4 linked regions of the Diceros bicornis minor genome follow. The protein of the gene in region 2 interacts with the protein of the main gene of each other region in a pairwise test. Links are inferred from orthologs where the notes say so. Each region holds a gene or a part of one and is shown on either strand. Other genes may lie near its edges.

Region 1 (6,519 bases), on a different chromosome or scaffold from region 2:
GGGATAAAGGCATTCTTCACACTTCTATGGAGGTCAAACAGGGGCTTTAGCTCACCAGGGACTCCAGAGAAATCAGCGGACTTTTATTACCTTGAAGACTCCAGCACACCCTCGATAGAACAGGAACAGGACCTAGCAGAAGGGAAAGTATGCCCAACTGACATGGCAGTAATCAGGTAATCAGGGAGGCAGGAGTATTGCAAGTATCAAAGGAATGACAAGGTGGAACCTAGCTATTTTTGCCCTCTGGACTTGTGAGCATTGGTGAAAACTCCCTTTAGTCCCTCCCCAGTACCTGATGGAGGCCACCGTCCTGTTAAATACTGAGGAGTTGCATAGGAGACAGCTCAACACAGTCCCACACCTCATCTGTTCTACTCAGCAGCTCTATAAGGCAAGCATTATCCCCCATTTCACAGGAGCTAAGACTGACTCTTTAAAGAAATGTATCTGTAATAAAGGGAGGGTTTATTTTTCCAGTTAAGACTGAAAGATACTTAAAGTTCACTCTTCTTTAAGTTTGTTGAATCAGTAATTATTATGTACGTGTACTATGTTCACAGACTCACTGAAAAATTGTTTTCATTGTTTCTAAAACTCCAGATAATAAAAGGAAAAAAAGTCCCATGTTATCCAACCAGAGTAATGTACCCCAATTAACACCTTGGGATATTTGATTTCAGATTTTTGGTGGGTTCACATAATACATATATATGTATATATAAATATAAATGAGACAATAATAAATGTATAGACTGCTTTTTAATTGCTTTATTAACTTTACATTTTTCCATGCAAATGGGTGAAACTTGACTGTAGACAGAAACTTAGACTGGGTGCCAAGGCAATCTCCAATTAGAAACTAGTAACACAGAACCCATCTGACACATGGAAATCACATAAGGTTCACAGCAAACGGATCAGTAAAGGCATAACAGGAAAATGCAAGGAAAAAGAAAACAACAGTGGGAATCACAGTATTAATCTCATGGAAAATGGCAGGAGTCAAGGCATAAGGCAAAATTCATCATGATGGTCATGGTGATTAGAGAGCTCCCCCATGAGGATACGCAGACAATTCCTCAACTGCAGCTCCCTAAGTTTTCTCCTGATTTCTCTCATCTCCTCCATGAACATTTCCATATCATCTCCATCTCCACCCATCCCATCATTGACCTGCCTATTGGGTATGGCCCATCGGAGATTAGGGGCAAGTCGGCGAGCCTGTCCCCTTCTATTATTTCCTGCTGGCTGGTGACCTTCGCCCCCTCCCAGAGGGCGGTCTTCCTCTCCATTCTGCATGGGCTGCTCCATTTCTTCGTTTTCCTGGTGGATATTTGCCATAATGAGATTTTTTTTTTCTGGTTTTTCTTTGAACACAAGTAAGACAAAGGCAAGGAGAGAGACTGAATACTTGGTGCAACGACCAGCAGGATTCAGAGCCTTGATATCAAAGGTTTTTGTTAAATTTCATTTTTCCCCCACCTTTGGAGCTTCGTGCGCCCTCTAGGGGGCCTCCAATTCCAGCCCCACCCTCCGGCTCTCTCCTTTTCCCTCCCTCCCCCAAAGCCCACCATTTTTCCTTTTCCAGGATTCTTTCCCAGAGCTCAGCAAAGACCAAAATGGAGGACAGGGGACGGGGGATGGGGAAGTTGGGAAGCGGTCTCAGACTGGGCCCTGCACCTGTCCCCCGCACCGACCTGGGCCTATCCTTGCTGTCGCCTCCTCCTCCTGATTCTCGCTCCAAGTGCGCTGCCTCGACACTTGACACTTACACCTGCAGAGGGCCGAGGTGGAGAGAGCGGGGACTGTTGCCAAGCGCTCGGCGCCGACCCGCCGCTGCCCGGCCCCTTCCCAGCGCCGGGCCCCCCGGCCGCCTCCGCCCCGCGTCTGCCGCCCCTCGCCCCGCCTGCCTCAGGGTTCACCATTTTCCTGCAGGAACTCGGGGGTGATTTCCCATTGCTCTTAGTTGCTCTACTGCCCTCCCTGGATCCCTGCCGCTCCTGCACCCCCCCACCCCAGGGGGACTATTTATGTTCCCAAGAACGCCGGGATGTGGAGAAAGCTGGCCGGGACCCGCTGCGCTGATTCCCCGCGCCGGTCTCCGGGGTAGGCAGTCCGCTGCCGCCCGGGCCTCGGCGCGCGGCCCCGGGGCCCTTACCTGCTCCGCTTTCCCCGGGCCCGATGCCAGCCCGCCGTGCGCAGGGCAGCGGGGAGCTGGTACCCAGACGGGAGTGACGACTGCACCGAAGGCTGCGTCGCTCTGCAGCTCCCGGTCACGTGAGGGACCCGCGTCACGGCCGAGCTCGCCCCCAACTCCAGCGGCCAGTGCAGCAGGAACGCCCCCCGCCTCCTGCACGCGCACACGCACACGCACAGACAACCCTCTCTGCCTGTTAGTGCGCGGGGGCCCCAGCGCGCACCAGCCTGTCACTCATCTCGGTCCTCTCCAATCTGAAGGCCCGCAAGTGGCATCACCTCCCTGCGGTTGGAGTTTGCACTTCTCTGGTTACCTGGGAGGGTCTGCAACACCCTCCACCCCTCTCACTCCCGCCCCAAGCCTTGGTTTTGGCCTTTTCTGCTTTCTCTCCTCTCCTCGCTGTCCACATGCTCCACCACACACACACGCCCTGCACTTGCATAGCCAGCGTTGCCCACCATATCCCCTGAATTCATACACTTCTAGGAAATTTAGAATGAGAGCTGGGTGGGGAGGGAGCAGGGGACTTGTCAGAAGTGAGGCAAGGAGATAAAGTGGGCTGTAGATAGCCTTCCTAGTAATTTTTCTTTATTTCACTTTTTAAGAAATCAGCATGCCTCAAAAAATTAAAAATCATGAGATTTCATTTTTGAAAGAAATGCTTCATCATGCTGAATACAAAAGCTTTATTGTTTGATTATGTTCACCTGTACCACACAGAAAATATTTTCTCTGGGCTTCACACATCAGCATCACTTTTGAAACATACTAGCTTGTTTCAAAATTTTATTTTCAAAAAAGGAAGGCATCTTCCTGAACACAGTTGGTGTTTTCAACACGATCTGTACAGTAAATCTTCAGGAAGAAGTTCAGTTGTCAGATCTTGGCCATTTTATGTAAATTTGTGTAATGTTTTTGATACCACAGTCTTTGAAGAAAAAGAGCCTTTTTATTCCCTGCTTTCCTTTCCAAACCTTCCAAAGCACCCCAACAAATATCACCTTAGAATGGTCTCAGAAGTTAAGTATATAATATGCAGAAGTTAGTTCCAAAGCTATCTGCCTTTTAATGTGAATGTTTCAAAAAAATATTAGAAATAAGCAGGGGGTGTGTGAAGCAACTAAACTTGAAACTGAAACTTATCTTGAGTGTAAATGTTCATTTCTCCAACTTGAAATAACTAAAAAAAAATTATCACAGCTAGAAAATAGAGATGTCTTTAGGAAAGTGGCGTTGTTATAAAAACAATTTTTAGTAGGTTTTGATTGTGATAAAGGAACCAAAAGAGTTATATGCACTGAGGCAAGACAGGCCAGACAAATGCTTACTGCCTCTAGTTTTGGCTCCAAATTCCTATGTAATCTCCTGCCCTGCCAAACTAGCTGGGACATCGAATAAAGGAAGAGTATATGCCTAGTGCATATATAGTTTGAGGTTTTATATAAAATTATATATATATATATATATATGCTTTCAGAGATATATAGATATATTAATATGTAGCTCCAAAGGCTCAAATTACAAAATCACACCCAATAATTGTCTTTGAAAGGAATATTAGTGATTCCTGGGTTCTGTCTCACAGTTAACAATTCTTCATACAGATAGCTCTATTAATGATATTGGCTGAAAAGATGCTGATTAGAAGCATGAGCTGTGGCATCAGATGTGTCTGGGTTTAAATCTTGTCTCTGCTACTTACTTGATGTATGACTTTGGGTCAATTACTTATCAATGTCTTTGTGATTCCTCTGTGAAACAGGGATTCTTAGAAGAAATAAATCACGCATATCAATTACTTACCACAGAGCCTAATAAATCTTCAATAAAAGTTGACTTGTTATTTTTTTACTATTATAGATGGTTTCTAACAAGATTTGAAGAGTAGGCAGGGCAGAATTCTTTCCTTAGCTAGATCCACTTGTTTTTAAAATCCATGAGGGCCCAGCACACATCTGCTTTGTTCCACCTTGTATACCTGGTGATTTATAGAGTTCCTTGTGCAAAGTAGGTGATTAGTTCATATTTGTTGACTGAATGCATCTGTTACTGAGGCTCACTGGTTGCTTTTCATTCAGGGGACTGTATTTAGAGCAATACAGAAAAGCTTTTATGAAAATTAGGAATTACCTAGAAAGAATCCTCTGAAAGTAGAGAAACCACTGTGACATAACCATTGAATATGAAGTTTAGTAAGTCAATGTTTATTTCTCTCAGTGGCTAAACGCTTTGCTGTTGTCTTTTTGACCCATCTTGGATAAGTCTTTTGTTTGAAACCACCAAATTTTCTTGGATGGAAACATACATTTGTATATTTTTCCAGAGCTGATGTTATGCTATATAGGAGGTTGGTTGTAATGAAATGATGTTTTAAAGATAGGTAAAAATTGGCCTGGAAATAATGTTGTCTTTGTAAAATGTTGTGAGGTGTTGATTGAGATCTTTTCTTGTCCTTGGAGTTTTCTGAGGAGTTGGAGATAGATAACAACCTGTTGAGAACAAAATTTAAAAATTTTCCAAGGCTGAGTTAGGACACAAGAGTCTTAGTTTGGGACTCATGTGCCCCAAAGGACAAAGAGAGTGTGAACTGGTTTGATGGCTCTTACCCTGAAATAATAGAAGGGTAGCATAGTACTGGGAAGGAGGAGACTGGGTTCACATTTGGGGAAATGCAGTGTTTGTGAAAAGAACCTATCACCTCTCCTTATATCCTGCAATTATGGTAGATGGCGGCGCTTGATTGGTTCCCTTCCCCAAAGCCAAGGGAGTGGGATCCAAAAAGAATTGTACATAAAGTTTAGGGATATCTACAAGATGTTAAGGTTCACTTCTCATTCCTCTCCTGAATATCTGCTTTACCTCTAAGATTCTGAGCTACCTAGATGCTATAGGAACCTGGAAAGAACATTTTGGAGAAATGATGTGGTGATGTGGCCCGGTGGAGAAAGGGCTAGGATTGACACCCTACAAAAGTACCCAATTCTGGAGAGGCTGAAAAATAAATCCTACCATGCCTACAGGCTCTGGAACTGGAGCTAGGGAGAGGGGAATTATTGAGATACAAGCTTACCAGAAGCTGTGACAACATAGGGTAAAGAGACCTATGAATCATAGGAATGCCAAGTGACGGTCTCAGCTAGGAGTCACATGCAAGATATGGCTCAATCTTCCAAGTTGCCACCAAAACCTAAGGGAACTGCTTGAGTATGAGTCCTTAGCAGCAGGTTCTACAGACATCAAACTTGAGCCTCAGTGATGATTAATCACATGAGGATAGCAATCTTACTCTAGGTAGTGAGGTAAATAGTTGGCTTTTTATCCCCTTCCTCCAAACTCTCAAATCATCTGAGTAAACCCAGGGAAGGAGAGTATGATGGTTAATTTTATGTGTCGACTAGACCATGGGATGCCCAGATATCTGGATAAACATTATTTCTGGGTGTGTCTGTGAGAGTGTTTCTGGAAGAGTTTGGTATTTGAATTGGTGAACTGAGTAAAGTAGATGGCCCTGTCCAGTGTGGGTGGGCATCATCCAACCCATTGAGGGCCTGAATAGAGCAGAAAGATAGAGAAAGATTGAATTTGCTCTCTGCCTGACTTCTTGAGCTGGGACATTGATCTTCTCTTGCCCTTTGTGTTCCTGGTCCTCAGGACTTCTAATTCAGACTGGCATCTACACATCAACTCTCTAGCTTTAAGGCCTTCGAACTACACTACTGGCTTTCCTGGCTCTCCAGTTTGCAGACAGCACACCATGGGACTTTCCAGCCTTCATAATTGTGTGAGCCAAGACCTCATAATCAATCAGTCTCTCCATCTATCTATCTATGTATAGACATAGATATAGATATATATATATAGAGAGATATGTATCTATATATCTATAGATATAGATATGTAGATATTTATCTATCTATAGATATAGAGAGATAGAGATAGATCTCCCAGAGGGATGAGGTAGGCTCTGAAACAAAAGTGAGATTGGCATTTTAAAATACATAGAACTAAATCTTATCAGTCCAACTGAGACTCTTTTAATAAGAAAAGTGACTGAAAAGTTGAGGAAATGGCTGAAATGTAGTTAAAGAAGCAAATTACCCAGTAGAAAGTAGGGGAGATGATAGAAAGAGCACTATTGAGGCAGCTATTGGAAAAATAAAACTGTTTTGTGATTTTACTTCAACTAGTTATCTCTCAGTCAAACTGCGGAGATACCAGGTTAGTATCCCATCAGGGGAAGCTCATTTTTGCTGAAATCTTTTTGCATGTTGCTATGATATACCTTACATGTATTTGGATGGAAATACATCCAGTTGGAT
Region 2 (7,576 bases):
GGGCCGACGCCCAAGCTCAGTGCCTACTTCCTAGGTCCTGCTCTCCCCAACTCCAAGAAGTCAGAGGTCCTAGCTGATTCAGCCACTTCTTAGCTGGGTGATTTGGGTAAGAAAGGACAGAAGGAAACTCCATTCACTGAATGCCTCTAGGCCAAATTTGTACTGTGGCTCTTTCCCCCTTACAACAACTCCAGTGGGCAGAGACCATTAGCTCTTCCTTTTTTGTAGACTGGGAAATAGAGGAGCAGAGAGATTAGGTAAGTGGGCCATGGATTACAAGTTTAATAAGCGGCAGAGCCAAGTTTCAACCCCAGGTCATCCATCTGACCACCAAGCCCAAGTCCTTCCACTGTTCAGAGCTGCCTCTTAACTTTATGGAAACTGTTTCCTCATCTGTGAAATGGGGATAACACTATGTCACTCCCTGGGGGAGAGTGAAATGGGAATGTGAGGGAGGAAGTGTGGACTCCCCAACAGTGGCTATTCCTGGGTGGCACTTCTCCACACCACCACAGGGACAAACGAGGTTCTGCAACAAGCCTGCAGGGGTGCTAGCTGGATGGTGGGCGAGTCAGCCAGAAGTTCCTGTTTCCATAATGACAGTATGGCTATCTCCCTGGCAGGCAAACACAGCACACCGCAGTGCCCAGCAGGCCCGGGAAGGCAACAGGGACGGCTGCATTCTGGGACCTGCAGTCTCCAGAGGCCACCGAGGGGCCTGGGACCTGTAGTTGGTTGCAGTGCATGCTAGGACTTGTAGTCTCAATTGTCTATCCCCTTGGACCATGCTTCTACAAGGAATTCCCCCTTCCTCCCGCAGCTGTTCCCAACTAGGAAGTATCTTGGCCACATGTGGGCGTGTGTGAGCACATTCTCCTCTGCCTTTTTTCTCTCGGTTTCAATCTCTCTGCGTGAGGACAGGGGATCTCAGGGATCCCATTAACTCCCTTCTGTCCCTTTCTTCTGACTGGGAGCTTGGGGGTTTTCCCTCGGCAGCCTGGCCCCACATTTCTCGCCCATCACAGTCTCCCACTTCTCTCCCCAGCAGCTCCCATACTCACCTTCCCCGCCTAGTCCACTCAGGTGGCTGCCCGCACTGGAGCCAGAGAGGTTGGGGCGGGCGGGCCGGGGCTGGGGGCGTGGTGTGGTAGGTGCAGGACCCAGAGCTGGGGCAGGACCCTCAGCACAGTCATCACCCCTGTACCCCTGACAGCATCTCCACTCCATGTCTGTCACTGTCTTGTAGGCCACGCGGTAGCGAGGACGGAGGAAGCTGCGGTACCTGGGAGAGGCAGAGGGAGGCCTCTTTACTCCTCCCTGTACGTACTGGCCCCTGTCCTCAGAGATGGGCAGCTGCTGGTGGGCAAAGCCTGTCTCTCAGGCTGAGTCCCCCTTACTGTCCAGCATGTGGCCTTGCTCAGTTGACAGCTGTCAGCTTGTTGGCCAAGGGCCAAATCCCTGTTCTTCCTCCCCTTGTCCTGTGTTGGAACCTTGAACTCCCCTCCTTGAGCATGACCCAGCCCAGAGAAGGCATTTGGGGGCTGGCAGGGTGGCCTAGGTAAAGGTGTGCCCTGAGTATCCCACCAGCCAAACTGTTGCCTCAGCGTGTCCTCAAAATGGCTCTGACTGAAGCCCCTGGTCCTGCCCCCTGCTCCCTGCTTTGTAGGAATTCCCTGAGTTGGCTGGCTGCCTTCTGCCCTAGCCCAACCCCCACCAAATACCCACTCATCCCCCAGCACAGAGGCTCACATGATGGTGCGGGCACACTGGGGCTGGCCCCAGCCACACGGCTGGTAGTCAGGCTTGATGAAGGTCTCCACTCCATCCTCAAGGACACAGCTCACTGTCCGGGTCACCACGTAGGCACACCAGTTCCTGCAGGCACAACCCCACCTGGGCCCAAGGGCCAGAGACACACGCCCCAGAGGAGGGCCCAGGGGCTACCAGAGGAGCTGAGGGACAGTCAAAAGATGAAGGGCCCCCGGGGACCAGTGGGAGCCAGGGCTCTGGCAGTGGCAGCTCCCCCCACGCCTTCCTGTGAGGCAGCAGTCGATAAAGACTTTTCAAGATGGGGAGAGGAGGCGCAGAATGGAAAACCACAACTACAAGAAGTTGATCCTCATGGCTGGGGGGGGTCCTGGGAGCCTCTGAATTCACACATTCATCCACGTCCCTTTCTGTCTCAATCCACACTTTGGTGTGGCCTGTGTGAGCTGGCTAGCTGGGTCCCTCAGGTGATACCCTGGATGCTGGCTTCCACCCACCCCTCAGGGGAGAGGATGGGGCAGGCAGGGATCCAGCTCAGGGTTAAATGGAGAATAAGCCATTGATGAGTCCTGCCACCCTTAGGGCTTGCAGTTCTACACTCTTGGCCCCATTCAAGCGGGCCTCTGATCTGGGTCCAGCTGGTGAGCCGAAAGGAGCAGGGCAAGAGTGGTGTCAGAATCATGGATTACTGGATGGGGCTGAGGAAGCCCTAGAAAGGGATAAAAGGTCTGCCCAAGGATCCCAGGCTGGTACGCAGCTGGCAGCTGGCAGGAAGGCCTGGCCCACGCCTCTCAGGATAGTCTTCCCAGGCACCTAACTGCAGGTCCCACAGGGAGGACATGGGAGCTGATCACCCTGAGGTTAGACAGAGGGACCTATCTATTCAGGGGGCCCTGGAAACGCCCTGCAGGAAGGTGGCCGTGTGAGGAGCCACCTGATGGGTGGGCTTCCTCTCCCCTTCTTCCCTGTATTAGGGGAGACAGCCCTGGAGAGGGTAGCCAAGGCAGGGGCCGGATACCCACCTTCTGACTCACCCTCCCACCCACCTCTGGGACCCAGATTCTTACCTGTGGCGGCTGGCAGGCCGGGGAGCACTCTGGGGCTGGGGTCCTCCAGGGCTGAGGGCCCCGCCGCTCCCCGTGTAGAGGCTGTAACCACGAGGAGGGTAGCTAGCTGCCCCCACGGCTGTGGTCAGCAGGCAGCAGAGGTAGCAGATCCAGAAAGTGCTGGGGGCCATGGTGGGGGCGCTCCGCGGTGGCCCTCAGAGGCACATCCCAGCCTGACCACTGGCGTCTCTGCCTGGTGCGGGGGATGCCGCTGCTCCAAGGGACAGCGCCGGTCGGGTCCTGTCCCCAGCTTCCTGCCGGCAGCCCCCAGCCACACGCCTCCTCCTTGGCCGCCTGGCCTGACCCCTCTCCCCCTCCTCTTTCCTCCTCACACTCCCGTCTGTCCCTCCCTCGGTTCCTTCCGCTCTCCTCTTCTCCACTTCTGAGGGGAGTTTGTTCTCTGTGCCCCCGGCCTCCTGTGCCTGGTCCCTGCCCCTCTCAGATGCTGCTTCCTGGGCCTCCGCCCCTTTGCCCAGCTGGCCCTCCTCTGTTCTCCCTATCTGTTTTCCCCAATGATCAGATCCTGGGGGTGACAGGGCTTTGCCCCTGTGGCTGTTGAGAGGCACAAGAGTGGCTGTGGGGCGGGCCCTGGCCTCTCGCCTCCCTCTCTTGCTCACTCCTCTCCCTTCCCCCCTGTCTGGCTGGCGGTCCAGCCTCCCCCTTCCTCCCCCCATCTCTCCAACCATCGTGCGCCACATCTGCTTCTTGTTAACTCCGGGAAAGAGAGAAAAAAAAAGGAAAAACAGAGAAATGTGGAGTTGCCGCCGGGCTTGGGGCCAGCCTCTCAGACGGGCCACATGGAGTGGAGCCGGGGCCAGCACTGGGGGAAAGGCCCAGGGCTGGTCACTTAGACAGGGAACAGGAGCTGGAGCCACAGCTCTCCTGGGGCTACGGCAGGCCTCCCCTGGGAGAGAAGACCTGAGAGAGGAGCCTAGAGGGGAGAGGAGGGGAGGACTATAAAAGGGAGAAGGAGCTTGTAGGCTCAGCGGGACATCACTCACCATCTAGTCCAGCCACCTCCTTTTATAGATGTGAAAATTGAGGCCCAGAGTGGGAAAGTAACTTGTCCAAAGTAACACAGCAAGTCAAGAACAGGGCTGAGATTAGAATCTAAATACCTAGATCAATGACTTGGCAGAAAGAAGAAGAGGAGAGAGGGCTACTGGGCCAGGGAGGAGAAGGAAAAGGACTCCACTGAGGCAGGCAGGAAATTCAGAGAAGCCAGAAGAGGAAGAAAGGAATCTGGAAATGGGAGAGCAGTTTTCTGTCAAGCATGGAGATGACATGGGCAAGAAGAGAGTCTCTTAAAAGGCCAAATAAATATGGGTCCCAGGCTTGCCTTGGTGTAGGTCAAGCCATCAGTGGGGGAGGGGAGGGAGGAAGGTAAACTGGGCCCCATCTATACAGGGCCAAAGGAAGTCACTCCCTAGCCTGCAGGCAAGTCTGATAGCCTCCGTAGCAGGCAAGGAACTCAGTCACATTCAGCCATCGGCCTGACTGGAGATGTCTGAATCCGTCAGCTGGGCCCCCTTCATCACCTGGCCCTCAGCACTGTCTTCTGGACTAGGTCTCCCTGTGTGTGGGGACACTCGGGAGAGCGAAGCGGAAGTACTAGACAGAAAGGAGGCGAAAGGGGCAGGCCCGGTGGCTTAGCGGTTAAGTGCGCGCGCTCCGCTACTGGCAGCCCGGGTTCGGATCTGGGCACACACAGATGCACCGCTTCTCCAGCCATGCTGAGGCCGCGTCCCACAAATAGCAACTAGAAAGATGTGCAACTATGACATACAACTATCTACTGGGGCTTTGGGGAAGAAAAAAAGGCGGAGGACTGGCAATAGATGTTAGCTCAGAGCCGGTCTTCCTCAGCAAAAGGAGGAGGATTAGCACGGATCAGCTCAAGGCTGATCTCCCTCACGAAAAAAAAAAAAAAGAAAGGACGCGAGACTGCTGCGTGCAGGGCACTGTGCAGGCGCCCAGGTAGCAAAGCATATATAAGACTTAGTGAGGAGCAGCTGGGGCTGCTGGGGATGGGATACAAGTTCCGAGACAGAGTGCCAAGAGGGACAGACAAATGGATGCGGCATGTTCTGGGTAAGAGGAGGGGAGAGACAGCTGGCTGCTGAGGGGAGTCAGAGAAGAGCTGCTGGAAGAGAGAGAATCTGAACAGTGTTGGGGGGAAAAGAGTGAAGAACAGAGACAAGGGGCAGGGAGAGATTTCAGGTTGGGGAAGGTGGCCTGCCTCAGTTTCCTCATCTGTGACATGGGAATAATAATAGTACCCTCCTTCCTAGGTTAGTGGGGATTAAGTTAATACATGTAAAGCATTTAAAATAGTGCCTGGCACATGGTAAACACTCAATAAATGTTAGCTCTTATTTGCATCAGGAAGAAGAAGGACAGAAAGTCAGAGAAGTCAATTGTGGAAAAATTAAGGAGTCTCAGATAACTGGTTAAGAGCTTCGATTACGAGTGTTTGGGTAGGGGGTCAATCACATGCAGAAAGAAGACATTGTCAGCAACAGCAATGGGCAGGGGGTCAGGGCACAATGGAGCTGGTTCCAGCTCCTCCTCTCAGTAGTGTTATCACTCTGAGCAAATCCCATGACTCCACTGGGAGTCTGTTGTCTGCCTGGTGTCTAAGGTCCCTTCCAAATTCTACATTGCAAAGTGATGCAGACTTGGAAGAGAAGGCTGTGACTGCTTGGTGATTTCCTGAGTAGAGGGAGCAGATGAAGGGAGACACCAGAGAAGATTCCAGGGTTTGAGCCAGGAAGGATAAGTCAAGAAGAGGAGCAGGTTTGGAGGAAAGAACGATGACCTTAGTTTGGACATACTGAGTTTAAGATGACAGTAACACATCTCAATGGAAATAAATGTCCAAGAGATGGTAGGAATGTGGATCTTGATTCTGGGAACCATTTGCAGGACAGTAATTGGAAGCTGAGAATGGACGCGACCAAATCTTCAATGTGACTCCTCTGAGGTCCTATGGCCCAGAATGTGATCCTGATGGTGGGGAGAAACGTTGGTGAAAAGACAGGATGCTGGAACCAACAGAAATGGAAATTTGTGGCTGCCCCTTAAAGGTGTGGGGATCAGCACACAGGGAGACTTGAAGGATATGGTCCTAGGAGATCCTAATTTCAAAGGAGCTGTCAGTAGAAGGTTGCAGCGTTGTCCCTGGTCTCCACATCAGTTCTAGGCTCTGGCCCTGGCAGGAAGCCACTTCCTCTCCAGGTTGCCCTGGCTGCTGCTGTGGGTTTTCTTTCTCTGCTCTTTCCCCTCTTCTTTCCCTTTAGGGGGCCTCCGGCAACCTGAAAAGTCATCCCAGCCATTTTGTTACTGCCTAGTTGTTACCCATTCCTTCGCCTGCCCTCTTAGGTTTAAAAATCTGTTGTATTTTAAGTGTGTCAAGTCAAAAATGTTGGCTTTGAAATACAATTGGAGTAGGCTGCATTTCATTTAGTCCTGTAATTAGGAGCCAAGACCTAGAGGCTGACATGAATATTTGTGAGATTTCAAATGAGATCTGGGTTCACTGGGGAAGCCTGAGGTGCTGGGCAAGCAGGCTGCAATGGAGACTAGGCTTAGAGAGAATGCAGTGGTGGTATTGGCAGGTAGCCACAAATTTCCAAAGCAATTGGCAAGAGAATTCCTGAGACCCAAAAAGGCTAAGTCCCTGGAGCACTAGTACAAGATCTATTTTATAGCCTCTCCAAAACAGGGGATTTCCAAGGGTCTAGTGCCAGTGGGAAATCTTGGCTGTACTAGGCAACTAACTCATTCACTCAACCATCACCGACTGAGCAATGAGCTCAGGTGCCCGGGGGCACCAGCAGTAAGGCACATTTTATGTCTAACGCCCTCTGTCAGAGGATGGAATATTGGTAGGAAGAAAAGGGAAATTATATGAATTGGGCCTTCAGTCATGCAAACCCAGATGGTAATTCAAGCTTGCAGCGACTCTTGAGCAAAAGTCCACTCCTGCTCAAATGCACACATTTTCCTTTTCCTTCCAACCCCTCCCACAGGGACAGTACTTTAGGAACCAACCTCCTTGGACTCAGGGCCCAGTCCCCTTTTCCCAGGTCAGGTTGCTTTTTCACTCCTGAACCTAATCCTGACCTCATGTCTTCTCCTTGACAATGTCACACTAATCACAGAGATTAGGCTCCACACGTGTCACGTGTCCCTGTCCCCCCCTCATCCTCTCTCTCCCCCAATTCCCCCCAGGATGAGGCTTGCCTGTCTCACTTCCCACATACTTCTCCACCCAAGCTTTGTTCAAGCTTTGTTAATTCTTAACTGAGTCTAGTTTAGTCCTGGAGACCATTTTTAATCTCAGTTCCTCCAGGCACTAGGCCAAATGACCCATTCAAGGCTGATAAAGACTCGCTGACCTAGGCACAGGAAGTTCTGGGACCTAGGCACAGGAAGTTCTGGGAGGTGAAGGACGTTTCAGGATGGTTCCAAAACAAACCCTGTTCCTCTTGTCCCTGACCTTAGGACAACCTGTTGAGTCCACAGTCTGTTGGGGAGTACGGAACAGAGGAAAGAGGACAAAGTGACACTGTCTCTAACCAGTTGTAGAACGTTGGTCAAATCAATTACTGCTGGGCCTCAGTTTCTTTCTTTATAAAATGATCTTGAAGGCCCCCTTCAGCTATAACAGTCTAGGGTACTTCATACCTGGGTCAGTTGGT
Region 3 (7,940 bases), on a different chromosome or scaffold from region 2:
TCTGACTGTCCAAATGTGCCTGTGAAGTTCCCCTAAACTTATCATGTAAGTGTCTTGAAGTCCTTACTTTATACAACCTAGTTTTTCTGTAGCTAGGAATGTTTTGAACCATCACTGAAAATAAATTCCTTTACCTTTAAGGTGTTTACACTCTAAATGGGGAGATAAAGAATTCCAAACTTAGTTGTGTTTCATGTATTTACTAAGAAGATATATCAAAATTGAGCTAATCCTGAAAAAATAGATATGGTTATAGGAGTGGTAACAGATCCTAGAGCAAGGAATTCTCTCAGGGTGGTAAAATGCTGCATAGTTGTTTTCTTTATAATTTTCCTGTCTTTTGAATTTTTTACAGTAGTGTTTATTACTTTTATAATCAAAAGGACATATATTTTTTAAGTCTAGATTTTGGAGTCATTCTGACCCAGATTTATATGCCGACTCTGTCATTTAAAGCTGTTTGTGATCTCAACCAACTTAACCTCTCTGAGACTTAATTTTTTTTTTTTTTTTTGTGAGGAGATCAGCACTGTGCTAACATCTGCCAATCCTCCTCTTTTTTGCTGAGGAAGGCTGGCCCTGGGCTAACATCCATGCCCATCTTCCTCCACTTTATATGGGACACCGCTATGGCATGGCTTGCCAAGCGGTGTGTTGGTGCACGCCCGGGATCCGAACCGGCGAACCCCAGGCCACCGCAGCAGAGCACGCACACTTAACCGCTTGTGCCACCAGGCTGGGCCCTCTGAGACTTAATTTTTGAATTGATAAGAGATAATGAAATCCTCACAGGGTTGTGGTGAGGACCATATGAAAAACTCCCATCACAGTGACCGGCACACAGTAGTACTCAATAATTGTTAATTCTCACTTTCTCCCTATTTGACACATGAAATTCTACTAAAGAAAACTGATGAGGATATAACAGGCCCTTACACTCAAAGTCAAATCCATGAAGCCCTTGTTACCTTGACTGAGGCTGGTCCCTTCCAGTTCAAGTACTGCTCTAGTTCTGTGCCCTTAGCCCGGGCCCTGGATGAGTCAAACACTTTCCTCTTGGAACTCTGCATCCTGCGGCAAACATTGGAGTGTCTCTCCAGCCTGACCAAGAGAAACTTGCGTCCACAGTGGCTGCACTCGCCGAGTTCTGGCTCTTCAGTGGGACAGCTGGGACCTGAGGAGTCTGGTGCCCCGGGCAAGCTAGAATTGCTGGTGGATCCCTGCAAAGCACTGCCTGGCACTTCTGAAGGCTGAGAAAACTTCGCCTTCAATGGCCCTGAGACTCGGTCTCGGATTTTGTTATTGCTTGCCCCCAGTCTTTCTCTTTTGAGCTTCTGTAGTCCATAATCAGAGAACTGGAATGGACTAGAATTTTCTTGAGACCATACCCAAGTTTCATCCTCTCCCCTGTCTCTACTGAAGACCCCCTCAGACCCGAATTCTGGGGAGAAGAGAGGTTTGTATGTGGTGTTGCTATTACCTTTGACTCTTCTCCTGGGGAGTGTCTTTCTCTGTAGCTCTCCTTTTTCATTTTCCTCTGTCTGTTCCTTTTCCTTTTGAATCCTTCTGAGTTCCTCCTCTGTCTTCTTCAGCTTTTGCCTCAGGAGGGTCTCTTTTCTTCGGATTTCCTCCTCTAAGCTCTCTCCTGCAGCCTCTAGTCTTTGGATCTGCAGCCACAAAGTCCTGTTGAGGTTTGCCATGGCCCTCTCCCCCTGCATGGCAGCAACAGTGCCAGCCACAGATGCGTTCACCCAGTTTCTTGAATCAAAGCTGCTGTATGAAAACTCTCTTGGCTCAGGGGGTCGTGGAGAGACATTCTGGTCCCCATCAGTGCCAGCCTCACCTGTACTACGAGACTTCCGATGGAACACGGGCTTCAGTGGGTATGCCCGGTCTACCCCAACTCGCTTCTTTGTAAAGGGGATGAAGTCCTGGTTATTTGCTTTGGGATACCGGGACTGATGGCTTGATGAGTAAAACAAACACTTTGTTTGGCCCTGGGTATTGCTTCCTGAATCTTGCTGGCTGATTCCAGCACAGTGGGGATAGGTGTGGCTCTGGGCTTCTGTGCAGGTGTTCCATTTGGGGTGAGTATAGAGATTATCCACTGTCAGCTCTTTGTTGCTCAAAAGCTTCTGCTGGAAATTGTTCCTCAGGTGCCCCATCGAGGACCGCTGGCAAGAGTCACCTTTTTCACAGGGGTCTTGCTTGGCTGAGTGCAGCCCTGGAGCTTCTATTTTATTATATGGGAGCATAACGCCCACAGGCAGAGGTGGCACCAACTGGAGACCAGCCATTCAGGGCCTGGACTGAAGCCTAGAAGAAATTGAAACCAGATATATGAGGAGTTTGAGATTCACCCCAGCTACTAAAGTAAACTGTTTCTACACTTGTCCTACCCACATTTCCCCTTAGACTTTTTAGGGACAGTGGTGCTGGGTCTGCCAGAGCTTTCGTTCAATAAGCATTTGGCAAGAGATTATGTCCTGTGAGTGCTTATTAGGTCCTGAGGATAGAAAAACGAATATGATACAGGTGTTCCTGCTGCCTAGCTTTCCTTTATAGCAGTACTAGCCCCTGCCATACACAGTGATGCTCCTGCCGGACACATCATACTCCGTAGTAGGTGGAAAGAGCTATTGGATTGAAAGTCAGGCTTTTGGCCGGTGACAAAGGACAAGCAACTTCCCTTGCTGGTTCCAGTTTTTTCACCCGTAAACTGAGGGGTTCGCTCAGTTAGAGTACATGACTGGAATTTAGAACTGCGAGTCCAGCCCAATCCTTGTATAGGTGAGAAAACTGCAGCCCGGAGGTAAATGACTGGCAACAAAGAGCTCTCAAGGCTTCCCTCCCGCTGAAACCGTGCTTGACTCCAAAGAGCACAGAGGGCGCTCAGGGCCTGGTGCAGCAGGTGCCTGGCTGACAAATCCTCACCCAAGGAGCCCCCGCGGCGCAGACAGCGAGAGGTCTGTAACCTGAAAGGCGGGGACCACCTGACCTGGCCGCTGCAGGTTTTAGATTCGGAATGCGGAAGTCACGTTCTGTCCTGGAGGGTCAGCTGGGGCGCCCCCACTGGGGAGCCCGCTTTGGGGACAAAGCGCTCTTCTGACCTCTGGCTCTTGGGAGGGCGAGGTGCTGACCTCACGTCTCCGCGCCCTTGCGCGTACCTGAGGCTCTCGGGGACCGTCCCTGCTCAGGGAAAACTCCAGAACCTAGTTTTCCCGACCGGACACCCACCAACCGCCGGCCGCGCAGGCGCTCTCAGCTGGCCTCTGTTATTCCCGTTGCCTGGAGACTGGAGCGTGTGCGCGCCCAACCCCGCCTCTGGCAGCGAGCACCGCCCGCCCGGGGCAGCGCGCGCAGGCGCAGTCCGCACGCGGCGGGGCGGGTGGGGGGTGCGGTCAGCCTGAGTATCACTTGACTGGGTGTCCTGCCAACTCTGGAGCTCCATCGCCCTGCCCTTGGGAATGGGGGAGGGGGCGGGAGAAGCTTTTCTGGGGCTCCATGAAAGAACTTGTATTTTTCTGTGAATGGTGCTCCCAGACCCTGGGGCGCGCCCCTCCCTGGCAAACGCCCGAGCCCCTAGCTGTGCCCGCCAGTCATTCCGCGGCAGGATTCCGATGTCCGCCCACTTAGCGGGAGTGGGCCTGCTGATAGCCTTTCTTAGCATGCTCCGCTGCTCTGTCCGGGCCCCAGGTATGGCTATGTATCTCTCTCCGTGCTTTTCCTCGCCGATAATTTGGACCTTGCAGTCAAATTTTATTAACTCGCCTAGGTTTTGCTATGCAGTATCTGTCCGGGGTAGTTTTTGTAGCCAGTCTAATTATTTTGATATGATGTTTGATTCTCACGTGGTAACTCTGGCCGTCTTTTCTTAGGGCCCAAGAATGACTCAGCCAAATGAAATGATAATAAAGTTAACTACCAGATTGAAAATAATCAGTATAACCTAGTTTCAACACTAAATGATACTGTATAAATTGTTAACATCAGAAAAGAGTTTATTTGTCTTCATGCTTCAGTTCCTTTGTGTAAGCTATTTAGAACAGGCAGCTTACTTTTTTCCTGTAACTGTTACCACCTAAAAAGGGGGTTCATCTGCTGGCTGTGAGGCATGCCAATAGTCAAGAAGCAAGGAGAAAAAGGACTTTTTATTACAGCTTGCTAGCAAAAGGGAAGATTGCTGACTCATGTCCAAAAGAACCATCTTAAGGGGCACAAAATCTTAAAGCAGTTACATAGGCCAGTGGGTTATAGGGGAGGGGTTTAGGAATGTTGACCTTCTGGTGTTACAGACTGGGAGTCGCCACACCAGATCTTTCAGTTGTTATTGATGATGGCTATCAGCATAGACTCTCTGTTGGGGGGTCATCACATTCCTAAGGAACTCAAGAGAACAAAGTTATCAACTTACAGCAACTGGGAGTGGCCATAAAATCCACAGAGCATGTCTGGGCTAATTAATCAGAGATCATTCAAAGTTACAATAGGGTTTCTTTTCTACAGTATGGCTTCCCTTATGTTAACCTTGTGTTGAGCCAATATCATAACTACTCAAAAGATTCATGCACATGGAAAATAATATAGACAGCAGTAGTCAGTGTTAATACTTTAACTTGTCATATTACATCTTTTAGATGTTACAAAGAAATTCCTTGGTGGGGCCCTCCAGGGCAGTCCTTATATTCTTTGTTTTCTTTCCTAGTTGACTCTCTACTGCCTTCTCTATATATGCAGTCCCAGACGTTTCCCACTCTTCTCAAAGTCCTAGTTATCTCAGCATGGGGCCTGCTTGTCATCAGCTCCCACAGCTCCCCTCCAGTCTGGCAGAATTTGCCAGAGTGCCTCCCTCCATCTTGACTTCCTTCCCTCTTGTCTCTGAGGAAGAAGAGTATTTCTCTTTCCATGAGTTCTCTTGAATTAGTCCGTTTCATTACCCTCCATGAATTGACTCCATCACTTTACCCCTCCATCTTATTAGCTTCAAGTTGTGTCTATCCACATATTCCTTCTCTTTGTTTTAAAATATGCTTAACTTTCCTCTGCAAAACAAACCTCATTTTTCTTGACCTGCCACCTCTCATGGTAGGGTCCCATTTATTTCTCCTCTTCGCCACAAGACTTCTTAATAGAAAACTTTACATTTGCTGCCCCCACTTCCTCATCTCCTGCTCATTATCCAGTCCATTGTGGTCTGGTTTCCACTCTTTCCACTGTATTTAACTGCAAGGCTACCAATGACCTTCCAATGACCAAAGACAAAAGCTGCTATTTCTTCAGGCTACTTATTTGACATTATTGATTTTTCACTCCTTTGGAACTCTCTTCTCACTTTCTCCTGTGCCTTTTTTTCTTTTCTTTTTTTTTTTTGGTGAAGAAGATTAGCCCTGAGCTAACATCTGTTGCCAATCCTCCTCTTTTTTCTGAGGAAGATTGGCCCTGGGCTAACTTCCGTGCCCATCTTCCTCTACTTTATATGTGATGCCTGCCACAGCATGGCTTGATAAGCAGTGCATAAGTCCACTGCTGGGATCCAGGCCTGCGAACCCCAGGCCACTGAAGCAGAGCTCGAGAACTTAACCATTACACCACAGGGCCGGCCCCACTCTCCTGTGCTTCCTTGGTTTCTTCCTACATGTCCTTGCTCCATCTTCTTCCAGGTCTCTGGCATTTATGTCTTTTCCTCACCTGCCCCCCAAATTTAGGTGTTCTCCAAAGCCCTCTTATTTCTCATATACATGCAGTTTCAGACATTCTCTTTCTTGGTGATTCAAGCAAATGCTGAAATTTCAAGTCTCACCTGTGTATAAGTGATATCCAGCTTAGCTCTCTCTACTTAGTTACAGACTCAAATTTCCAGCTGCTCATTTAGCACCTCCACATGAATGTTCCTCAGGAACCTCAAACTCAGCGTGACAGAAAACAAACTCATGATCATCTCTCCAGTCCCCCAATCCACTTCTTCTCCAGTGTTCCTTCTCACGCTGAAAGCATCAGTCATCTCCGAGTACCTCTTTGTCACTCCTTCCCTCTAATCGGTCAGCAGGCTCTGATGGATTTACTTTGCAGTGTCTCTCATATATGACCCTTCCTTTACATTTCTTCTACCGTAGGTGAGTTTTTCCTCTCTTCTCATTGGATGGCATCACAATCCTAACTGCTATTCTTGCCTTCAACATCTGCTCCCTGAGCTCATCCTTCATGCTGCTGCCAGAATAATTATCCTAAATACTTCCAAACCTGTCGTACCTATAGCATAAAGCTGAAACACGTAATTTAACGTGGTATTTCAACCTGCCAGATTAGTTCCAGCCTACCTTTCCAGCCCTGCCTCCCCAGAGTCTAGTCCAGTTGCTCTCCACCCTGGCTGTGCTTTAGGACTATCTGGAAAGCAATTTCTAGGGGTGAGACCTGGGTATCAGTATTTTTAAAAGCTTCCCCCAAGGTCCTAATGTGCAGCCAGGGTTGAGAACCCCTGGTCTAGCCATACCTGACTATTTGCAGTTTGTTACCTCAGTGGCACTACCTCAGGCCAAGCTCCACGTACTAGGAGGTGGTAGAACATAGCCTTTATGGGAGTGGGCTCTGTATTCAGACTGCTTGGAACCAAATCCCAGCTCCGTCACTTACCCGTCATGGTTGGGTAACCTTGGATAATATGCTGTTTCCTCCAAGAAGCTTTTCCAATCTTCCCAGAGTGAATCTCTTTGCTCTTTTGTGCTCCCGTAATATTTTCTGTTCTTGTTATAGCACGGGGCTGGCTCATGATCAGCTCTCAATGGGTGTTCATGGCATTGAATTAGCGTATTGTGCATTGTTTTGTCATTATTTGCGTGCATATTTGTCCCTTACACTAAATGAAAAACTCTTTGAGGACAAAGGTTATATATCTTTCATCTTTGTACATCCTATGGGTGTCCCATACATAATAGACACTCAATAGGTTTTTTTTTCTTGAGGAAGATCAGCCCTGAGCTAACATCCATGCCAATCCTCCTCTTTTTGCTGAGGAAGTCTGGCCCTGGCTAACATCTGTGCCCATCTTCCTCCACTTTATGTGGGACGCCGCCACAGCATGGCCTGACAAGCGGTGCATTGGTCTGCGCCTGGGATCTGAACCCGGGCAAATGAATTTTAGAGAAAGAAATAACATCAGCCAGGTACTCTATTTCTGATCCGAGACCCTGGACAGATCCCCAGCCCGAGGCTCGCTCACGCTCGTGACAACCGCGTCCCGAAACCCCACCCTCTGGGCGGGCTCTGCGCCGGAGTGCTCCGTCTGTGATTGGTCGGCGGAGGTGATGGGCATGAGAGACAGCGAAAGAGGAGCTGCACTCTAAGCTTCCGGGCGCGACGGTTACGCGGCTGAGGGGGCCGTTCGCGTGGTGGTCGCTGATGTAGTCTCGGCCGCCTGGGAGGAGAACGACGAGGGTGATCCTGGGACGTGGCTACGGGGCGCACTTATCATTCGGTTAGTCCTAAAATGTTAGTAGAAGGGGATTCTGGCTGCCGCAGCGAAGCCAGGTCCCTGGGAAGAGGTAGGGATGGAGAGGGAGCAGAATCGGAGATGGGTGTAGGGAGGTCACTGGATAAGCAGGTAATTGCCCCAAAAGAGGCCTCGGTGGGCAGTTGCGACCGAAGTTCCTTTGCCCGGGTGCCCTCTGTTCACACACCGCGCTTGCACGTATCCGCTTACGTACTCTGAAGTCGGGGCACCTTAAGGTCAGGAAGAGGTCGCAGGTGTTAAGGATGGAGAAGGGGAGAGGGTGGCCGTTTCTGTCTCAGGATTAGGGGCGTGGAATAGGATGATGAGTCCTTTACTTTTCTGCTTTCCTGGTCTCTGACAGGTGTGAACGTGAGCATGGCAGAAGGGGACACTCTGATATCAGTGGATTATGAAATTTTTGGGAAGGTGCAAGGGGTATTTTTCCGCAAGTACA
Region 4 (8,468 bases), on a different chromosome or scaffold from region 2:
AAGGACATGAAAAAGCTTTTCAAATACAATACTGGAACAACACAAAAAGCAAGTAAAAGGGAAAATCTCAGTGAATTAAAAATTAAAGTTAAAAAAATAAGCCAGGAGTAACAGTATTACCAAAATGTATGCGACAGGACACTGTACACGTGCCTGAACTGGGACCCAGAGTTGGGTCAGTCTCTTTCTAGCAGAAAACAAAAAAGAATGAAGTATCAGCAAGAACATATCAAGCAAGGAGGCCCGAGAAAGGCATTCCAAGCCGAGAAAACAGCATGAACAAGAGCCTGAAGTCACTGAAAGGGCCTATCCTGCCTAGAAGACGACAGGACAAAGGATGGAGCTGGAAAGGTTGGTTGGGGCCAGAGCAGAAAGACCCTGTGTGCCAAGCTAAGGAGTTTAGGGGCTTCTTCTGTAGGCAGGAGAACCAGCAGAGATATCCTCTCCCTTCCCAGGCCACCTTGCATTCCTGCTCCAAAGGATGCCTCAACTCTGGGAAGGAAACACTGACAACTCACCCTCATTCTGGCTTAAAAAAAAAAAAAAATTCCAAAGGCTCCCACCACCTGGCCTTGAGCTAGCCCTTCCCTTTCTCCCACCTCTCCCAGCCTCACCTGTTTCCCTTCCAGCTTCCTTAGAAGAGTTCAGTTCTGATAGGGGTGATTCTGGAAGTGACTGCCCAGAGCAGGTGTACCATAGGACCAATGGTTAAAAAAGAATTAAGTCCCACTGTTGCCAGAACTGATTTTCAAGAGGATCAGAAATCCAGATTGATATATGAAATCTGATTTTTAAAGGAAGGAAAAAAACACATCCAACACTGTGTGGGCCAACTAATGCATGTCTATAGGCTGTCTGTGCATGACTGTGGCCCAGGGCCTTTGGCCTCACTGGAATCCACTGAAGTAAGCAGGCTAGCATCTTCCTTTTGAAACATTTTAATCATCCAGAGCTTTCTTATAATCAGGCTTTTTAAAAAGATCTGTCTTCCTGCTTGATCTGTTATATTTACACATATAATCTAAGCATTTAACACCTACCAGGTGATTAATCAGACCTGCTGCTCTAGAAAGCTTCAATTAACCTTCAACTTCCACTCGCTCCCCTGCGAGTATGCATTTATTCAGAAATATCTACCGAGTCCCTGCTCTGGTGATAAGAGTAGTGAAGAAAATGCCTTATTGCTTTAGTTCCTGACTTCTGGACAGACAGCAAACAAATAATCACAAACTGTGATAATAGTATGAGGAAAAGCACATGGTGCTTTTGATACCAGCTCAACACAAGGTTGACATAAGGGAAGCCATACTGTAGAAAAGAAACCCTACTGTAACTTTGAATGACCTCTGACTAACTAACCCAGCTGGATATGCACCCTCCAGGAGATCTAACGGCTCTGTAGATTTTACAACCCCTGCTTGTGTATGTACCTCCCCGCTGCAATAAGAGGATAACTTTGTGCTTTTGAGTTCCTTAGGAATGTGATGACGCCCAAACAGAGAGTCTATGCTGAGAGCCATCATCAATGAAACTGAAAGATCTGGTGTGGCGACTCCCAGTCTGTAACACCAGAAGGTCGACATTCCTAACCCCCTCCCCTATACCCCACGGGCCTATATAACTGCTGTAAGATTTTGTGCCCCCTGAAGATGGTTCTTTTGGGCATTAGTCAGCCATCTTCCCCTTGCTAGCAAGCTGTAATAAATAGTCCTTTCTCTCCTACCTCCTTGCCTCTTGACTATTGGCATGTCTTGCGGCGAGCAGAAGACCTCCACTTGGGGGGTAACACTATGTGAAGCTGTAGCATGAGGACAGAATTCATATGGGGGGGGTGTCAACAAAACCCTTCTGAAAAAGTGACACTTCAGCTGAGACCTAAAGGATGGCCAAAAGTTTGTCAACGGAAGGGGGGAGGAGGCATTCCTGGCAGAAGGAAAAGCAAGTGTGAAGATCCTGAAGCTATAAGAAATTTAATGCATTCCACGAACTGAAAGGCTAGTGTGACTGAAACCCAGTGAGCAAAGGGGAGTGTGGAATAGGATGAGGCTAGATGGGGAGGCTATAGCTGGATCACGGAAGGCTCTGAAAGCTGCAGTAATGAGCTTGGACTTTCTCATAAGGGTAATGGGCAGCCAGTGGATTCTCAACAGATCTTATAACAAGATCTGCCTTTTAGAGAGCTCACTCTGACCCAGAATGGAGAATGGATTGGAGGGAACAAGGTAGGGCTACACCTACCTTCCTCATCACTGTAACCCTGGCATCTAGCATGGTGCCTGCTAGATGTGGCACTCAGTAAATGTTTGTGGAATGGCTGACTGTGAAAACAAAGGAGCCCATTACAGTAACCAAAGATTGGAGCTGAAGAAAAGTGTTCTGAGGTGAGATGTTTTGTAAGTCGAGTTGATAGGACTTAGTAAAGGATTGATTGAACGTAGCGGTTTGGAGATGAGTAAAGGAGAGTCAGGCAAGATTCCCACGCATCTGGCTTGAGCCAACTGTACGGCTGGAGAGGAGAGTTGAATGAGATGGGTAAGACCGGAGAAGGAGCGCAGGGAGAGGGCTCGCAGCCGACTATCGGATTCACTCCCAACTCCCACCACACGCGCGTGTCTGAGCATCTGAGGAACACTGGGCACAAGGCAGGACTGGGCTCCCCGAAGACGAGGGCGGTGTCGCCCTCTCCGCCCCCGGGCTCTCCCCGATCCACGCTAGGCCATACGAGCCTGCTCCATCCATGCGGTGTGGGGAGAGGGCACTAGGGGAAAGTTAGGAAAGCCTGGGTGATGGAACCGGCTTTACTACGTAAACTCCTTGAACTTATCTGGGCCGCAGTGTCCTCATAAGATCGTTCCGAGCCTCAACGCGTCAAGCTCCAGGCCCAAGCTAGGCGAGAAACCGCTCCCAGAGAGCGAGCGGAATTCCCACGTTTCCTTCGGCCTGGGACTGCCTTTCCTCAGGGCGCGGGCCCGTCAGGTTCACCTCGCCCCGGGTCCGCCCGCGTCCCCGGACCCGGAGTCACGGCCTACCTGCCCACCGGGTACCGCGGCGCGCCGCGCCCCAGGCTGACGTCGGCGGGCAGCTTCTCTCTCCGGTCAGCGGCAGCCGGTACCTTACCCGCCCGCCTCAGCCGCTGCCACGGCTACAGGACCTGTTTACCCATGACGTCACTACCTAACACCGGAAGCACTTACCGCAGCCCAACCCGCAGAGCCTGCGGGAAAACGGAGGTCTAAGAGGAAGGACGGCTGCCTACAAGATCCAGAGGCCTTTGCGCCGGAAAGGCCGCCGGAAGTAGCTGTGCGCTCTCAGCGGAATACTCTCAGGGGCTCCTCCCTCCTCCCTGATTGGGTGTTAGGCATCCCCGGCCTCAGCGTGCCATGCTCCCAGATCGGCGGGGCTGGGCAGCGGCTCGGGGTGGAGTTCGCGGGCGGAGGATGTGAGCTCACACGCTGGGATTGCTGGCGGGCAGGCGGCCACAGTCTGGGGGCGGCACGGTGTCGGCTTGCAATCCAGCTGAGAGGAGAGGCACCCCCGGGGACGGTGAGAGTCGGGTCTGCCGATGCCCTAGGGGAAGGGATGGACTGGCCGCGGACTGGAGCAAAGAGACCCCCACCCGGTGCTGGGGAAAAGGCGTGGGACGGCGTAGGGGAGATGGAGAGCTCAAATCCTCCCCTGGGAGTGGGTGTCAGAACCGATCCCGGTTTCTCGGTAGTGAGGTGGGGTACGGGCTGGGGAAGACTCGACACTGGGCAAATTTCCCGTGGGTTGGGTCTCGCTAAATCTCCCCAGACCCTTGGGATGAAGCCGAAAATTTACACCTAGCATTTCTGCTAGATCCGCCCTCTCTAGACCAGATCGGCCCCACTCCCCCGCCTCCGCCATCCTCCGTGTGTGACGGATTTCTGGGTCCTTCTTTCTTTAGGACCCCACCTTCTTCCACAGCTGTGGTTGTCTGCCCTTTATTCTGCTTGGGTTCCCTTTAGCTTCGCTGAGTGAGACGCGGATACGCCCCTAGCCCCTGGCATCCCCAAATATCCACACACAAAGTCCGGAAGGAAGAGCGCTGAGGCTATCAATGGAAACTTCATTCTCACTGGAATTACTTTCTGGGGCGTCACCTGCCACAGGATTCCTGGAGCCCATTGGCCTGGGCGGAATCTGAGCTGACGTCATCCATGGGCTCAAAGCAATTGCTTTGTAAGAAAGGAATAGATTAGCTCTGGATTTGTCTACCTCCGTTGGCAACCGCCTAGCCTTTGAGCTCCTTTGCTTTGGTAGAATATGTATGTGTACTTTCTTTGATCCTGGGGAAATTGGGGCTAGACACAGAATACGTAGGTAACTTGCTAAAACCTGTTGAAGAATGGATTTATTCCCTTGGGGTGGGCGGAGGAAGGTAAGGTGATCTCATACCACTCACCATTACTTACTGATTGGGCAGTCTGCTGGTGAGGGCTCAGCTCATCCATACTCCGTCTTGAAGGCAAATGAGAGTCTCCTGGACAAGCCCACTTGCTCTCTTGCACCCTTACAATTCATTCTCTACGCAGCAGCCAGAGTGATTTTTTTCAAAATGTAAATAACTCAGGTCATATCACTCCCCTGCTTAAAACCCTCCAATCGATTCCCATTGCAATTAGTATAAAATCCACTCTCTAATATGATCTGGCCCCTGCCTTCCTTGACTTGAAATCAAGCCAACATCCCCCTTCTTTCTATGCACCAGCCATCTTGGCCTTGTTTCTGTTGCTAAACCTTGTGTCTAACTGAGGAACTTTGCCCTTACTCTTCCATCTATCTGGAATGCTCTTTCAGACCTCAGCTGGAATGTCAGCTTCCTAAAGAGGCTTTCCCTGACCCCCTGTCTGAATTAGTGCTTCTCACCAGTCACTCTCTTATCTCTGTTTTATTATCTTTATTACATTCCTCACCTTCTGGAATTGCCTGCTTATTTATTCATTTTCTTGTTGTCTGTATCCTCCCACTAGAATGTAAGCTCCATGAGGCCATAACTTGTTTGTTCTTTTCTGTATCCCCAGTGCCTTGCATGGAGCAGTGGCACAATCAATGCTAACTCTTAGTATTTTTATTCTTGTTTACATTATGATGCTTCTTTGAACTCCTTGAAGGCGAAGACGGTATCTTTTCATCTGTCTATTGCTACTGCTTAACATAGTAGGCACTCAATATTGTTTTATTGCTGAATGAATTAAATGAGCTAATATATATTAAATGCCTAGAATAGTGCCTGGAACATAGTAAACATGCGAAGAATGTTTGCTATTATTTTTTTTTCAGTGACTGAATTTCAGTGATTCTTTAGAAAACCAAAACATATAGCATCTAAATCATGAGGGGTGACCTGGCTTTGCTCTCCTCTGCTTTCCTTGCCCTCCCTCCTCTGAACTCCTATCAGTGTTTCACTTTCCAGATCACTTAACTGTTTTTAGATTTATCATCTGTTTTTTTCTAGCCCTTTCTCCCCATTCTTGTTGGGAGGGAAGAGAGGAAGAGATAGGGCTGGGCCGCCTCTCAGGAAAAAGAAGCAAAAATAGCCATCCTGTAGTTGCTCTGTCCTGGAAAATGGTGACAATTTCAGGAACTTAGGACAGGGCTGATGCCAAGAAAGAGGAAGGTCAGGAAACCCCGGCTGGAGCCAGAGTAGCCCCTGCCAGGAACACTGGCCGACTCCCTCCAACCTGGCTCCTTCCATGCTCTCCTGAAGCTGCTTTTACTTGCCTTCCTGAAGCCAGACTCCGGGTGGTGCTCCAAGTAAGAACTGGTGCAGGCTGCTCCTGAGCCTGGAATCTTTAGAAAGGAAGCGCATCCTGTCACTCGGGCTCCTGGGAAACTCCCAGGCTGGCTGGATTCCCAGTATGTTTGGCTGGAAGTCTTGGATCCTGGGAACCTTGAGAAGAAAATAACTGGAATCTGACTGGTGGATCCCCAGGGTGGGGACTTCTGTTCTGCCCAGTCTGTTCCTCAAGCCATCTCTGACCAGCTCCAAGGGTTTGCTTGTCCTCCTTGCCGTCCAGAGCTGAGCTGGGTCTCAGGGAGGCTGGTGAGGTGACCAGTTCCCGGCTCTGTGAGACTGTGCTCCCAAACCTGATTCCTGGTTCCATAAATAACAGCAGGAGTGTCTTTCTTTCTTTCTTTCTTTTTTTTTTTTGTGAGGAAGATCAGCCCTGAGCTAACATCCGTGCCAATCCTCCTCTTTTTGCTGAGGAAGACCAGCTCTGAGCTAACATCTGTTGCCAATCCTCCTCCTTTTTTTTTCCCCCAAAGCCCCAGTAGACAGTTGTATGTCATAGTTGCACATCCTTCTAGTTGCTGTATGTGGGACACGGCCTCAGCATGGCCGGAGAAGCAGTGCGTCTGTGCGCGCCCAGGATCCAAACCTGGGCCGCCAGGAGCGGAGCGCGCGCACTTAACCGCCAAGCCACGGGGCCAGCCCCAGGAATGTCTTTCTTAAGGCCTAGGGCCTTAGCCTCTGCCAGGGAATCTAGGGCTTATTAAGGAGAGAATGACTGGATAGTCAGTGTTTCTCCTCCTGTCCCCTCCTGACTGAGGGCTCTCCTCTCCTGACTTCTGTCTTCTCTCCCATCTCCTGCTCATAGCACTGAGAGCATGAGGCTCTGGCCCCCACTGGCCACTCACTTGTGACCCTTCCACCACGGTGGAGCCTTCCAAGCCGACCTCCTGCCGTGTGGTGATCTACCTGCAGCGGGAGATGTCAGGGGATACCTGTCTATGCCCAGCCTCAGGGGCCAAGCCCAAGCTAAGCGGCTTCAAGGGAGGAGGCCTGGGCAACAAATACGTCCAGCTCAATGTGGGCGGTTCCCTGTACTACACCACCGTGCGGGCGCTCACCCGGCACGACACCATGCTCAAGGCCATGTTCAGCGGGCGCATGGAGGTGCTGACTGACAAAGAAGGTGAGGCATTGGGGCTTAATGAGTGGGGTGGGGAGGGAGGGAGGAGTTCCTGAGGAAGTGACTTCAGGGCAGGGCTTAATGCCGACAGTTCTAGAATCTAGATTCATTTTTCCAGTTCACCTGGTATACGACTCCTTCACCTGGAGTGCTTAGTAGAGCTTCGGAATTCTTTGAAATTGTACATAGAATGTTGTGTGTTTATGCATTTTCCAGAGAAGATCCATACTTGTTTTATATTCACATAGGACTAGATTCTCGTAAGAACCATCCCTGTAGCAACTGGGCAGTGGGCAGAAGGCAAGCAGGGCGTGATGGGTTCTGTGTTGCTGTGAGGTGGGCCTGAGCACTCCTGAGCTTAGATCCCTGTGGGCCTCCACAGAGCCTGGAGGGCCCATTGTCTTCCAAGGCATGTGCCAGTTCTTGGTTTCAGGGAGGAGGAGTGAAGAGCAGCCATGGACCTAGGAGCTAGAGGTTCTGTTCCCATTTCTGTTACCCTGTGCCATGGGCTCTGTGCTCATGTGCTCCTTGCCACCTGCCACCAGGCTCGTCAGGTGGCCTTTGCTTGCTTCTGAGGTACCTGGAGGCAAACAGTAACCCTCTGGGGCCTGTCTGAATCCCTAGGCTGGATCCTCATAGACCGATGTGGAAAGCACTTTGGCACCATTTTGAATTACCTCCGAGATGACACCATCATCCTCCCTCAAAACCGGCAAGAAATCAAGGAATTGATGGCTGAAGCAAAATATTACCTCATTCAGGGGCTGGTGAACATGTGCCAAACTGCCCTGCAGGTACGGAGGCAGAGTTGGGGCAGGTTGATGAGGTTAAGAGAGACAAAGATCCAGTTCCTGGAAGGCTGTGTGGCAGCTGTGGTTGATGAGTCCAAACCTAGTTAGATACACCAGGTGGTGCCCAGACCAGGTGAGCTGGCAGCCAGTCAGTTTGTAAGGTGATGAACTCAGGCAGTCTGACTAGGCCCTGCTTCTAGTTTATATGCCTAGATATCTGGATCTTAGGTTTTCTGGGAATGGGGGTCTGCTTGCCAGCTGGCAGTTTCTATTGCCAGGGGCCTCCCGATCTCTGTCTGATGCCTCCTCAGCCAGCAGGGGGTGGCCGTGATAGAGGGGCTCAGACGGCTCCTGGGGAAAGCCTGGCTAAGCCTGGCAAGCAGAAGATCTCAAAAAGATTCTCGGCTGTGTGTGTCACCCAGGACAAGAAGGACTCCTACCAGCCTGTGTGCAACATCCCCGTCATCACATCCCTGAAGGAGGAGGAGAGGCTCATCGAATCCTCCACCAAGGTACTGGGGCCTCTGAGGGCTCTGGGCAGGGGATGTTCTGACCCTGGCCTGGCCCTCACGCTCTCCTCCCTCACAGCCCGTGGTGAAGCTGCTGTACAATAGAAGCAACAACAAGTATTCCTACACCAGGTAGGGTGGGCGTCCTGGGGAGGAGGGTGGTGCGATGCCTGGGAAAGGGCTGCAGAAGCTGGTGAAAGGGCTAAACAGCCAGAAGGTGGGCAGCAGACCCG

The links.
Region 1: the proteins of EMILIN1 (region 2) and protein BEX3 interact in binary tests that used the Homo sapiens proteins (3 or more experiments, as listed by UniProt). The two-hybrid records come from large-scale screens. The link is inferred for Diceros bicornis minor from reciprocal best matches to the Homo sapiens genes EMILIN1 and BEX3.
Region 3: the proteins of EMILIN1 (region 2) and ZC2HC1C interact in binary tests that used the Homo sapiens proteins (3 or more experiments, as listed by UniProt). The two-hybrid records come from large-scale screens. The link is inferred for Diceros bicornis minor from reciprocal best matches to the Homo sapiens genes EMILIN1 and ZC2HC1C.
Region 4: the proteins of EMILIN1 (region 2) and IFT20 interact in binary tests that used the Homo sapiens proteins (3 or more experiments, as listed by UniProt). The two-hybrid records come from large-scale screens. The link is inferred for Diceros bicornis minor from reciprocal best matches to the Homo sapiens genes EMILIN1 and IFT20.

The regions. Positions count from the first base shown.
Region 1 is NC_080781.1:96,216,723-96,223,241, reverse strand, and holds protein BEX3, read right to left. Parts: upstream 1,797-6,519; 5' UTR 1,701-1,796; intron 1,327-1,700; 5' UTR 1,315-1,326; coding exon 1,006-1,314; 3' UTR 757-1,005; downstream 1-756. UniProt on the Homo sapiens protein: May be a signaling adapter molecule involved in NGFR/p75NTR-mediated apoptosis induced by NGF. Plays a role in zinc-triggered neuronal death.
Region 2 is NC_080751.1:55,737,857-55,745,432, forward strand, and holds the start of EMILIN1 (EMILIN-1), read right to left. Parts: upstream 3,470-7,576; 5' UTR 3,005-3,469; coding exon 2,835-3,004; intron 1,876-2,834; coding exon 1,750-1,875; intron 1,283-1,749; coding exon 1,062-1,282; intron 1-1,061. UniProt on the Homo sapiens protein: Involved in elastic and collagen fibers formation. It is required for EFEMP2 deposition into the extracellular matrix, and collagen network assembly and cross-linking via protein-lysine 6-oxidase/LOX activity.
Region 3 is NC_080763.1:23,022,694-23,030,633, reverse strand, and holds the start of ZC2HC1C (zinc finger C2HC domain-containing protein 1C), read right to left. Parts: upstream 3,257-7,940; 5' UTR 3,168-3,256; exon of another isoform or gene 2,999-3,167; intron 2,764-2,998; exon of another isoform or gene 2,317-2,763; 5' UTR 2,298-2,316; coding exon 969-2,297; intron 1-968. Other genes in the region: ACYP1 (acylphosphatase-1), read left to right, coding at 3,531-3,696, 7,848-7,940.
Region 4 is NC_080757.1:19,127,303-19,135,770, reverse strand, and holds the start of IFT20 (intraflagellar transport protein 20 homolog), read right to left. Parts: upstream 3,257-8,468; 5' UTR 3,195-3,256; intron 3,153-3,194; exon of another isoform or gene 3,030-3,152; intron 1-3,029. Other genes in the region: TNFAIP1 (BTB/POZ domain-containing adapter for CUL3-mediated RhoA degradation protein 2), read left to right, coding at 6,734-6,938, 7,560-7,729, 8,149-8,238, 8,315-8,367. UniProt on the Homo sapiens protein: Part of intraflagellar transport (IFT) particles involved in ciliary process assembly. May play a role in the trafficking of ciliary membrane proteins from the Golgi complex to the cilium.